3 linked regions of the Saccharomyces cerevisiae S288C genome follow. The protein of the gene in region 1 interacts with the protein of each later gene in a biochemical or structural test. Each region holds a gene or a part of one and is shown in the gene's direction. Other genes may lie near its edges. The genes, in order: YJU2, PRP43 and PRP46.

What was found.
Region 2: the proteins of YJU2 (region 1) and PRP43 form a complex in vitro, tested with the Saccharomyces cerevisiae proteins (one study listed by BioGRID).
Region 3: the proteins of YJU2 (region 1) and PRP46 form a complex in vitro, tested with the Saccharomyces cerevisiae proteins (one study listed by BioGRID).

Annotation. Positions count from the first base shown.
Region 1 is NC_001143.9:260,119-263,613, forward strand, and holds YJU2 (mRNA splicing protein YJU2), read left to right. Parts: upstream 1-2,158; coding exon 2,159-2,995; downstream 2,996-3,495. Other genes in the region: CWP1 (Cwp1p), read left to right, coding at 1,014-1,733; YJU3 (acylglycerol lipase), read left to right, coding at 3,231-3,495. UniProt on the Saccharomyces cerevisiae protein: Part of the spliceosome which catalyzes two sequential transesterification reactions, first the excision of the non-coding intron from pre-mRNA and then the ligation of the coding exons to form the mature mRNA.
Region 2 is NC_001139.9:282,288-286,045, reverse strand, and holds the start of PRP43 (DEAH-box ATP-dependent RNA helicase PRP43), read left to right. Parts: upstream 1-2,108; coding exon 2,109-3,758. Other genes in the region: protein kinase COQ8, read right to left, coding at 99-1,604. UniProt on the Saccharomyces cerevisiae protein: Pre-mRNA processing factor involved in disassembly of spliceosomes after the release of mature mRNA.
Region 3 is NC_001148.4:265,802-269,559, reverse strand, and holds PRP46 (mRNA splicing protein PRP46), read left to right. Parts: upstream 1-2,024; coding exon 2,025-3,380; downstream 3,381-3,758. Other genes in the region: YPL150W (non-specific serine/threonine protein kinase), read right to left, coding at 1-1,372; peptidylprolyl isomerase RRD2, read right to left, coding at 3,456-3,758. UniProt on the Saccharomyces cerevisiae protein: Involved in pre-mRNA splicing. May also be required for cell cycle progression at G2/M.

The DNA of each region.
Region 1 (3,495 bases):
CAATGAACTTTTGTCCTCACTACAATTGCCCCTCGGATGGATTTGAACTTACAAGAAATATCACGTTGGCGCGCGCTAAAGTCGCTTGCCAATGCGCTATGAAATTTTCATGACCTGGCACATTTTAGCACAGTGCCATTAATCCCTTTATTATGGGCATTGATGCGACTTTAAAACTGTACCTTCCTTCGCACATGCTGAATTTTCTTAATGAGATTCATCTACGATGCTTTAGAGCTAGCCTTGTTTTCTTTTTTATGCTTCAAGAGTAAGTAGTGAAGAACCCCACTAGACAAATACTAAGGGATGCTGCAACCACGTCTTATACTTCACCCATACATAACATTGGAATCTCATTAATTTTTGCAAAGATATGGTGAACAAGTTTCAAAATAAGAATGTATGTGTACCGAATCGTAGCTCGAGGTAATAATGAAAAAAAAAATCGGACATCTGGAAAGTTACGAATATAGAAGCAGATACCCCTCTTGACGGCAAACATTGTGTGCTCGACCTTCTATCCCGTTAAAATATCATAATAAACAAACCCCTCCCGCGAAAACAAAAAAAGAGAGCTAAAAAAAGTACTTCTTCGCGTTATAGATGGTGCCGCACCGTACGTCATAACTAAAAATAGCGTTAGCCACAGCTCCCTGAACGAAAAGGGCCCTTCGGCCCGATTGGAATACGGGTCCGCTTACGTCTGTGCGTGCGGGTTGTCCCACAACGGTAACTTACTCCAGGAGAGCCATCTCGAAGGTGCCACAAAAGAAAACAAAAAAAACAACAAACAATAAGCTCTGTGGTTCACGTTCAATGTAGTGTTTTTTCACCTTTTAATTTTGATAATTTGTGGTGCAGAAAAAAAAAAAGCAAACAAACAAAATCTCAATTATTTAAAGGACGATCTTAACGTTTCTTTCTTTCGCTATCTTCCTTGAATTTTTTTTCTGTCTGAAGTAAAATATCCCGTAACAAACTAATAAATACTACGAAAGTCTCAAAAAACAATAATGAAATTCTCCACTGCTTTGTCTGTCGCTTTATTCGCCTTGGCTAAGATGGTCATTGCCGATTCCGAAGAATTCGGCCTGGTGAGTATCCGTTCCGGCTCGGATTTACAATACTTGAGTGTTTACAGTGATAACGGCACTTTGAAACTTGGCAGCGGTAGTGGCTCATTTGAGGCAACTATTACCGATGACGGTAAACTGAAATTTGACGACGATAAGTATGCTGTTGTCAATGAGGATGGCTCATTCAAAGAAGGTTCTGAGAGCGATGCTGCCACTGGTTTTTCTATTAAAGATGGCCATCTAAACTACAAGAGCTCTTCTGGTTTCTACGCTATCAAGGACGGGTCGTCTTACATTTTCTCTTCTAAGCAATCCGACGACGCTACCGGTGTTGCGATTAGACCAACTAGTAAGAGCGGATCTGTTGCAGCAGATTTTTCTCCAAGCGACTCTAGTTCCTCTTCATCTGCTTCTGCTTCGTCTGCTTCCGCATCATCTTCTACAAAGCATAGTTCGAGTATAGAATCTGTCGAGACCTCTACTACTGTGGAAACTTCCTCTGCTAGCTCCCCAACTGCTTCAGTTATCTCTCAAATTACTGATGGACAAATCCAAGCTCCAAACACAGTTTACGAACAAACAGAAAATGCAGGTGCCAAGGCTGCCGTCGGCATGGGTGCTGGTGCTCTAGCGGTCGCAGCTGCTTACTTGTTGTAAGTACGAGAACAAAACCTGCATGTTTTATTTCCTTCAATATAGCTTTCTACATAATGATCACTTACATATAGCGTAATGTAATATGAAATGGCCCATAATATTCTCTTACATTGTCCTCCTACCTACATTCCTTTTCTTGCATGCAGCTCTCACATTCCCCGATTCGCTTGAAAAATTTAAACTTGTAGAAAAGTAGGTGAATGTCCCGCCGGCGGTTTCTCTGCTGCATGTAGAAAGATGGATATACAGAAAAGGAGATAAGAGTAGCTATCTCAAGTTTGTTCCACTGACTGCTAATACGCATAGAGTTGTTATTTATTGTACATATTCGAAAAAAAGCAAGAAATCACTACGGTGACCTCAGTAGAACGAACTAATAAGTCAAACCAAATTAACCGTTTCCAGGCTGATAGGAGAATACAAGAATGTCTGAAAGAAAAGCTATTAACAAGTACTATCCACCGGATTACAACCCACTGGAAGCTGAAAAGCTATCCAGGAAAATGGCTAAAAAACTGAAAACCATGAATAAGAGCCACGCATCGATTAGATTAATGACCCCATTTAGTATGAGGTGTTTGGAATGTAACGAATATATTCCCAAAAGCAGAAAATTCAATGGTAAGAAAGAGCTACTGAAGGAGAAGTACCTGGACTCCATTAAGATATATAGACTAACCATTTCATGTCCACGTTGTGCCAATTCCATTGCATTTAGAACAGACCCCGGTAATTCAGATTATGTAATGGAAGTGGGGGGCGTAAGAAACTATGTCCCTCAGAAACCAAATGATGACCTGAACGCTAAAACAGCTGTCGAAAGCATAGACGAGACACTGCAACGCTTAGTGAGAGAGAAGGAAATGGAGCAGAACGAGAAGATGGGTATAAAGGAGCAAGCAGATGACAAAATGGATTTGCTGGAAAAAAGACTAGCCAAAATTCAACAAGAGCAAGAGGATGATGAGGAACTTGAAAATTTAAGGAAAAAAAACCTTGAAATGAGCCAGAGAGCTGAAATGATAAACCGCAGCAAACACGCACAACAAGAAAAAGCAGTAACGACTGATGATCTGGACAACCTCGTAGATCAGGTATTTGACAATCACAGGCAGCGTACCAATAAACCTGGCAATAACAACGATGAGAAGAGAACTCCGTTGTTTAATCCTACATCCACTAAGGGAAAAATACAGAAGAAAAGCTCTGTGCGTACGAATCCGTTAGGGATAGTTATAAAACGAGGAAAGTCTCTCAAATGACCTAGAAAAGTAAGGAACGTACGATTGGTATCATGATCTCTTGTGATGCTGTGCTACTGTGGTTGCTTCCACACTATAGCGTCCATCGCTACTTACGAGGGGCGACAGCCCCTTCGGACTTCGAAGTGTCTGGCCGTTTTTTCATTGAATTTTCTTATAAATGAATACATATCGGAAAAGCCATTGTTGACTAAAGCAAGCCAAAGCCACACAAACCGAGGACAAATAGAAAAGCATGGCTCCGTATCCATACAAAGTGCAGACGACAGTACCTGAACTTCAATACGAAAACTTTGATGGTGCTAAGTTCGGGTACATGTTCTGGCCTGTTCAAAATGGCACCAATGAGGTCAGAGGTAGAGTTTTACTGATTCATGGGTTTGGCGAGTACACAAAGATTCAATTCCGGCTTATGGACCACTTATCACTCAATGGTTACGAGTCATTTACGTTTGATCAAAGGGGTGCTGGTGTTACATCGCCGGGCAGATCGAAAGGTG
Region 2 (3,758 bases), on another chromosome or scaffold:
CTAACAAAACAAAATAAAAGTATACGGACTAAAAGTAAATAAAAAAATATCTTTCATAATATAAAGATATGCATATATACAAATAGCGGGGAAGTATTTTAAACTTTATAGGCAAAAATCTCTTTAAAAAGCTTTGCACAATGAACAGACGCACCCATTCTTGCACACAAAAGAAAAATGCCACTAAATTTTCTATGTAACGAGTATGTTTCCTCTGGTGGCGGACATAGTCTTTCATTCAACATTAACCCGATATTACCTCTAATCCTGTCTGAGACTGTTTGATCCTTGAAATCGAAAGATTTATCTACATCACCCCTAAAAGGTTCACCAAGTGTAAGTACACTATCGACGTGCGCGTCTTTCATGGACTGCGATTCTAAGCCTGTGAGATAGCCCAGTTGTACAGACATTTCGTACGCCCCTTTCCTATCTCTCAATGTGGCGTAAGTTAAAAGTTTTCTATATTTTAGAATAAAATCTTCTGCAAAAGGTCTGGAGGCACCGAAATCCAATAATTCAATTTTCTTTGTCCTACCGTTATAGAGGAAATTTGCCCAATTAGGATCCGTTTGCATATACTTGAAAGTGGCAATTTCTTCCAGACATAGTCTCATGATATTCTCCGAAATAAAATTTTTGGTTTCTTGTGATGCCTTGGGCAATTTCATTATTTCAGTTCCCTCCATACGTGTCATAGTTATAATATTATCGGTTGTATATTCAGGAAACACATGAGGAACCTCAAACGCTGGGTCATCCTTTAGCAACGCCTCAAACTTTTGTAGAGCTCTAGCCTCTCTGTTGTAATCACATTCCCATTTTAACTCAGTTCTAGCGTTGGCAATTGTCTTATCCAAAAATAATCCCTTCGGTAATAAACTTGAGGCTGTAAGTAACATTAGTAAACTATTCAAATCCGAATCAATGGATTCTTTAACCCCAGGATATTGAATTTTGACAACCACTCTTTGACCACTGGGCAACTCTGCCGCATGTACCTGTCCGATACTAGCAGCTGCCATAGGTATCTTGTCAAATTTGGAAAACTTTGTCTTCCAATTAGCACCTAATTCCTTGGCCATAACCTTTTCCAATTGCCTTTGAGGCATATGATTTGCACTATTCTGTACCCTTGATAAAATTTCGTATAATTCCTTTGGCAACACTTTCTCATCCTGAAAAGACAATAGTTGCCCTATTTTAAGGGCAACACCTCTCATTTTAGAAAATTTATTGGTAATTCTGTCAATATTCGAATCTGATAGAATCAAAGATTTCCAAGTGGGAGAATTGCCCTTTGCAACTTCCGATATGCCTTTTGCTGCGGCATTCATGCCCACCCCTGCTGCCAGTGAGCCATAATGGAACAATCTCGATATTCGTGAAGTTGGTACACTGGAACTTTTTAATGTATCCTTTTTTTCCTCCTCATGCTTCCTTTCTACGTTTTCTTCACCTTCTTTGGCAGATTTTGTAGTATATTTCTTACTCAACGATATTGAAGAAACAGAAGAAATTCTCCCGTTCTGTATAGTTCTTAAGAGACGGGATGAACAATACAATCTCCTTAAATTCCTCAATTTCACCATATTTGTAACCATATCGAACGATATCTTAGCCGAACAGGTCCCAATAAGGATGCCAAGGAAGCGTACTGAGTACAGTACCAGAAAGATCTTAACTAATTAAGATCATCTAAAAAAGTACTGGGTACTATTACAGATCTAAAGCTTTACAAATGAATATTACCCGGATCATAGTTTGCTGACTGATAGTATATAGTTATGGACAAATTTCATCATTTTCCAAACTAAGGTCGTTTAGTTTTACGCTCTGTATTCGTTTGCTGTTTCAACTGACAGTATCATTTCGGAGTCCCATAAATCTACCAGATTGCTTTTTATTGATCTAGCGATCTTATACACAAGTCCTTTTTTATTTCTTTTTCTTTTTTTTCGGTGCCTCTGAAAAATTTTCAAATGCGAGATGAGGTGAAAAGAAACTTATTCAATTGTAATATTTAACACGTTTACGGGGATGCGATTGAGTAACGATAGTATAACCTTATAAACGCGCATAGAAAGATTAGGACTGCAAGAATAATAATGGGTTCCAAAAGAAGATTCTCGTCCGAACACCCGGATCCAGTTGAGACCTCTATTCCTGAGCAGGCCGCCGAGATTGCGGAAGAATTATCCAAACAGCATCCTCTTCCATCCGAAGAGCCACTTGTCCATCATGATGCTGGTGAATTCAAGGGCTTGCAACGTCACCATACTTCAGCAGAAGAGGCCCAAAAACTTGAAGATGGAAAAATAAATCCATTTACCGGTAGGGAGTTTACACCAAAATATGTTGATATCCTGAAAATTAGAAGAGAATTGCCAGTACATGCCCAGAGAGATGAGTTTTTAAAACTTTATCAAAATAACCAGATTATGGTTTTTGTTGGTGAAACAGGTTCCGGTAAAACGACACAAATTCCTCAATTCGTTTTATTCGATGAGATGCCACACTTAGAGAACACTCAAGTTGCATGTACTCAACCTCGTCGTGTCGCAGCAATGTCTGTTGCACAGAGAGTTGCTGAGGAAATGGATGTCAAGTTGGGCGAAGAAGTTGGTTATTCTATCAGATTCGAAAATAAAACTTCTAATAAAACGATATTGAAGTATATGACTGATGGTATGTTGTTGAGAGAGGCAATGGAAGACCATGACTTGTCGCGTTATTCATGTATCATTCTGGATGAAGCGCACGAACGTACACTAGCTACTGATATTTTGATGGGTCTTTTGAAGCAAGTAGTCAAGAGGAGACCTGATTTGAAGATAATTATTATGTCTGCTACTCTGGATGCAGAGAAGTTCCAACGCTACTTCAACGATGCTCCATTACTTGCCGTTCCGGGCAGAACATATCCAGTTGAGCTATACTATACACCGGAATTTCAAAGGGACTATTTAGATTCTGCCATTCGTACTGTTTTGCAAATTCATGCCACTGAAGAGGCTGGCGATATTTTGTTATTTTTAACTGGTGAAGATGAAATTGAAGACGCTGTCAGAAAGATTTCCTTAGAAGGTGATCAATTGGTTAGAGAAGAGGGATGCGGACCTTTATCCGTATACCCACTGTATGGTTCATTACCACCGCATCAACAACAAAGAATATTCGAGCCTGCTCCAGAGTCACATAATGGTAGACCAGGCAGGAAAGTTGTTATCTCCACGAACATCGCTGAAACTTCTTTAACAATTGATGGTATTGTCTACGTCGTTGACCCAGGATTTTCAAAGCAAAAAGTTTACAATCCAAGAATTAGAGTTGAGTCTTTACTTGTTTCCCCTATCTCCAAGGCTTCTGCCCAACAAAGAGCTGGTCGTGCTGGTCGTACAAGGCCTGGTAAATGTTTCAGATTATACACTGAAGAGGCATTCCAAAAGGAACTGATAGAGCAAAGTTACCCAGAAATTTTACGTTCCAATTTATCCTCCACCGTTCTAGAACTAAAAAAATTAGGTATTGATGACTTGGTCCATTTCGATTTTATGGATCCACCGGCTCCGGAAACAATGATGAGAGCCCTTGAAGAACTAAATTATTTGGCATGTCTGGACGACGAAGGTAACTTAACACCCCTAGGTAGATTGGCATCCCAGTTTCCCTTGGATCCTATGCTAGCGGTGATGTTAATTGGGTCCTTTGAGTTCCAATGTTCTCAAGAAATACTAACTATAGTGGCCATGCTATCG
Region 3 (3,758 bases), on another chromosome or scaffold:
GAGGAGAACCTGCAATAGAGTGACTATAAGCCCTTTGTGAGGATATTTTAGAGAGAGTAGGATTCAGAACTTTTGCTGAATCTTTAGACTTCTTTCTGCTAACCGGAGTCATCGATGTTACAAAATCTGAGCCTTTATTGAGCATTTTACTCAATGAAGCAGCTCTAGAAAGTTCAAGTGAGGGTTTCAAAACATCTTCGCTAATGCCATTAGTGTCGTTATGCGTAGCACTTTCAATAACTTTTTTGACTGATAAAACGGACCTGCTTCTTTTTGGATATTTGCAATTTTCTTGCTTTTTCCCTTGGGCTAACAACAATAACCATAGACCCGAGAGTGAATCGCACTTTTTTTTCAAAATTGATTGTTTTATTGCTTGCGTATCAACCCCTGATTGTTTAAGACGCTTCAGCAATCGCCTTTCTAATTTACTTTTAAACTGAGTCCCTCCACTGCGCTGTCTGCACAAAATTTTCTGAGTCTGATCTAAAACCACTGAACCGTAAGGCTGTAAAAAAGGGTGGCGTAAAACTTGTGACAACGATGGGCGCTCTCCCGGATTTTTAGCCAATAATCGTGAGATCAAATCCCTAGCATCGTCCGGAATAACTTTAGCATCGTATTTCGGTTCTTCATTGACGATTTTCCATTTCGTTTTAGCCTCATCGTCATCATCAAATGGCAAATATCCCGTAATTAATGTGTATAGTATCACTCCCAATGACCATATATCAATCTTGAATCCATCATAAGTCCTTCTTTCTATCAATTCAGGTGCCATATAAACTGTGGTACCGCAAACCGTTTCTAATGTCGTCTTTGTCATACATTCTCTCGTAAAACCAAAATCCGTCAATTTTGCATTTCCATTTTTGTCTAATAAAATATTCTCTAACTTCAAATCTCTATGAACACAATGCATTGAGTGTGCATAGTAAACAGCACCTGAAATTTGTGCAAACAACTCTCCGCATTCCAATAACGATATTCTACGCAGAGAAAGTAAGTGGTCATATAATTCCTTCCCTGGGCAATATTCTAATGCCATCCACACTTTTGATTCTGTCACTATCACTTCATAAAGCTTTGTAATATAAGGAAAATCGAACTGTCTATGGTAAAATACCTCTCTAACGATATTGGGATCATTCTTATCACTCGTCTTTAGGCAGACTTTACGATGTGTTGGTCTATGGAGCGCTAAATATACTTTTCCAAAACTTCCTTCACCTATTTGTTTTAAAATCTTGTAGTTTCCCACTTCTGTCAACTCATCAGAAGTAAATTGGCTGTATAGTCGATTGTACGATGATCCTATAATGCTTTTTATATTGTTTTGTTCCAATTTCGAGGATCCAACAGGATTAACCATGGTGAGCAGTATATTCACCTATATGTGGGTCTTTTATTGTCTCTTGGCAACGGATAAGGAGAACTTGCTTCCACTACACAGTGACTAGTTATTAATGAAAAACGAAACAAAATTTATTGATACAAAAAATAGTATTCGGATAACGAAACTCTTGTTGACTTCAAAATACAGGTATTGGAATTTTCGTAATGATTCGGAATGATATGAGGGAAAAAACGTTACTTTATTTAATTCATACAAGATATTTATTGTATACCGTTATTGATAAGTGTTCTGTTGTCAAGATTGGGAGGGTCCACGCGGTCAACATTGTTAAGATAAGCCGAAAATCACCACACAAATCCACGATGACCTAAGAACATTCGTTCGCTTAAATCACCTATAGTCACAATAAAGTAGCATTCAATGTGACAAGAGGAGCTATCTACTTTCAGAGAATTACTCCTCATCTCGTATTCCTATTTCGAGTTCAACAACTCTTTTATTAAGTAAGGGTGCTCAAAATTCTTCATCATCTAATACGGAAAAGCTACAATTTTGGCAATAAAAGATTATTCAAGATGTGAAGCTAACAGTAATTATTACCCACTTCATTGCATCTTAAAACCATTTCCGAGGATGCAGACACTGTGTTACATGGAGATTAGTGAGAATGGACGGAAATGATCACAAAGTCGAAAATTTAGGAGATGTAGACAAATTTTATTCCAGAATACGCTGGAATAACCAATTTTCATATATGGCCACTCTGCCGCCCCACCTACAAAGCGAAATGGAAGGTCAGAAATCATTGCTAATGCGATATGATACTTATAGGAAGGAAAGTTCTTCTTTTAGTGGTGAAGGCAAGAAAGTTACTCTGCAGCATGTTCCTACAGATTTTTCAGAAGCATCACAAGCAGTGATTAGCAAGAAAGATCACGATACGCATGCATCTGCTTTTGTGAATAAAATTTTCCAACCAGAGGTTGCTGAAGAACTTATAGTTAATCGATACGAAAAACTTCTGTCACAAAGGCCGGAATGGCATGCACCCTGGAAACTTTCACGCGTTATCAATGGCCATCTTGGATGGGTACGATGCGTTGCAATCGATCCTGTTGACAACGAATGGTTCATCACCGGAAGTAATGATACGACAATGAAAGTTTGGGATCTTGCAACAGGAAAATTAAAAACTACCTTAGCAGGGCATGTAATGACAGTGAGAGACGTTGCTGTGTCAGATCGACATCCTTATTTATTTTCTGTTAGTGAAGATAAGACGGTCAAATGCTGGGACCTAGAGAAAAACCAAATTATTAGAGATTACTATGGACATTTATCGGGGGTTCGTACGGTGAGCATACATCCAACGCTGGATCTCATAGCTACCGCAGGCCGAGATAGCGTTATCAAACTCTGGGATATGAGAACCAGAATACCTGTTATTACACTAGTTGGGCATAAGGGTCCAATCAATCAAGTACAGTGTACTCCAGTAGACCCTCAAGTGGTGAGTTCATCGACTGATGCTACGGTAAGGTTATGGGATGTAGTTGCTGGGAAAACAATGAAAGTTCTAACACATCATAAGAGGTCTGTGAGAGCTACAGCGTTGCATCCTAAGGAGTTTTCGGTGGCTTCTGCGTGTACTGATGACATCAGATCATGGGGATTAGCAGAGGGGTCTTTACTCACCAATTTTGAGTCTGAAAAGACAGGCATAATCAATACTTTAAGCATTAATCAAGATGATGTATTATTCGCTGGCGGTGACAATGGTGTGCTTTCCTTTTATGATTATAAGTCTGGTCACAAATACCAATCGTTGGCCACGAGAGAAATGGTAGGCTCTCTGGAAGGTGAACGGAGTGTTCTTTGTAGCACTTTCGATAAAACAGGTTTAAGATTAATCACTGGAGAAGCAGACAAAAGCATAAAGATTTGGAAACAGGATGAGACGGCTACAAAAGAGTCAGAACCGGGGCTAGCGTGGAACCCCAACTTAAGCGCCAAAAGATTTTAGTGGGAGTAGATGGAAAAAGTACGTACCCTGTATACGTGTATATACAATGAGATAGCATCTATAAATGGACTTTTCCTAATCAAAAGGTATTGGTTTATGATGTTTTTTATTCATCTCAGTAGCCGCAATAGCGCTCGGTAACTTTATACCACAGCAGTCTCCCCAAGTAGTATGAACATGTCCTTCAAAATTGCACTCATCATCCTTATCAGTCCCATCATGTATGTGGCCTCTTGGTGGAGATACACCATCCGGACAAGGCAAAAACTCGCTAAAGTAAAAATGTTGCATGATGGGCAATTTACTAAGGACTTCGGCTTTATACATTTTTATCATCCCTTCAGCAACTTTTGACCAAGTCTTTACACCGCTGATGTC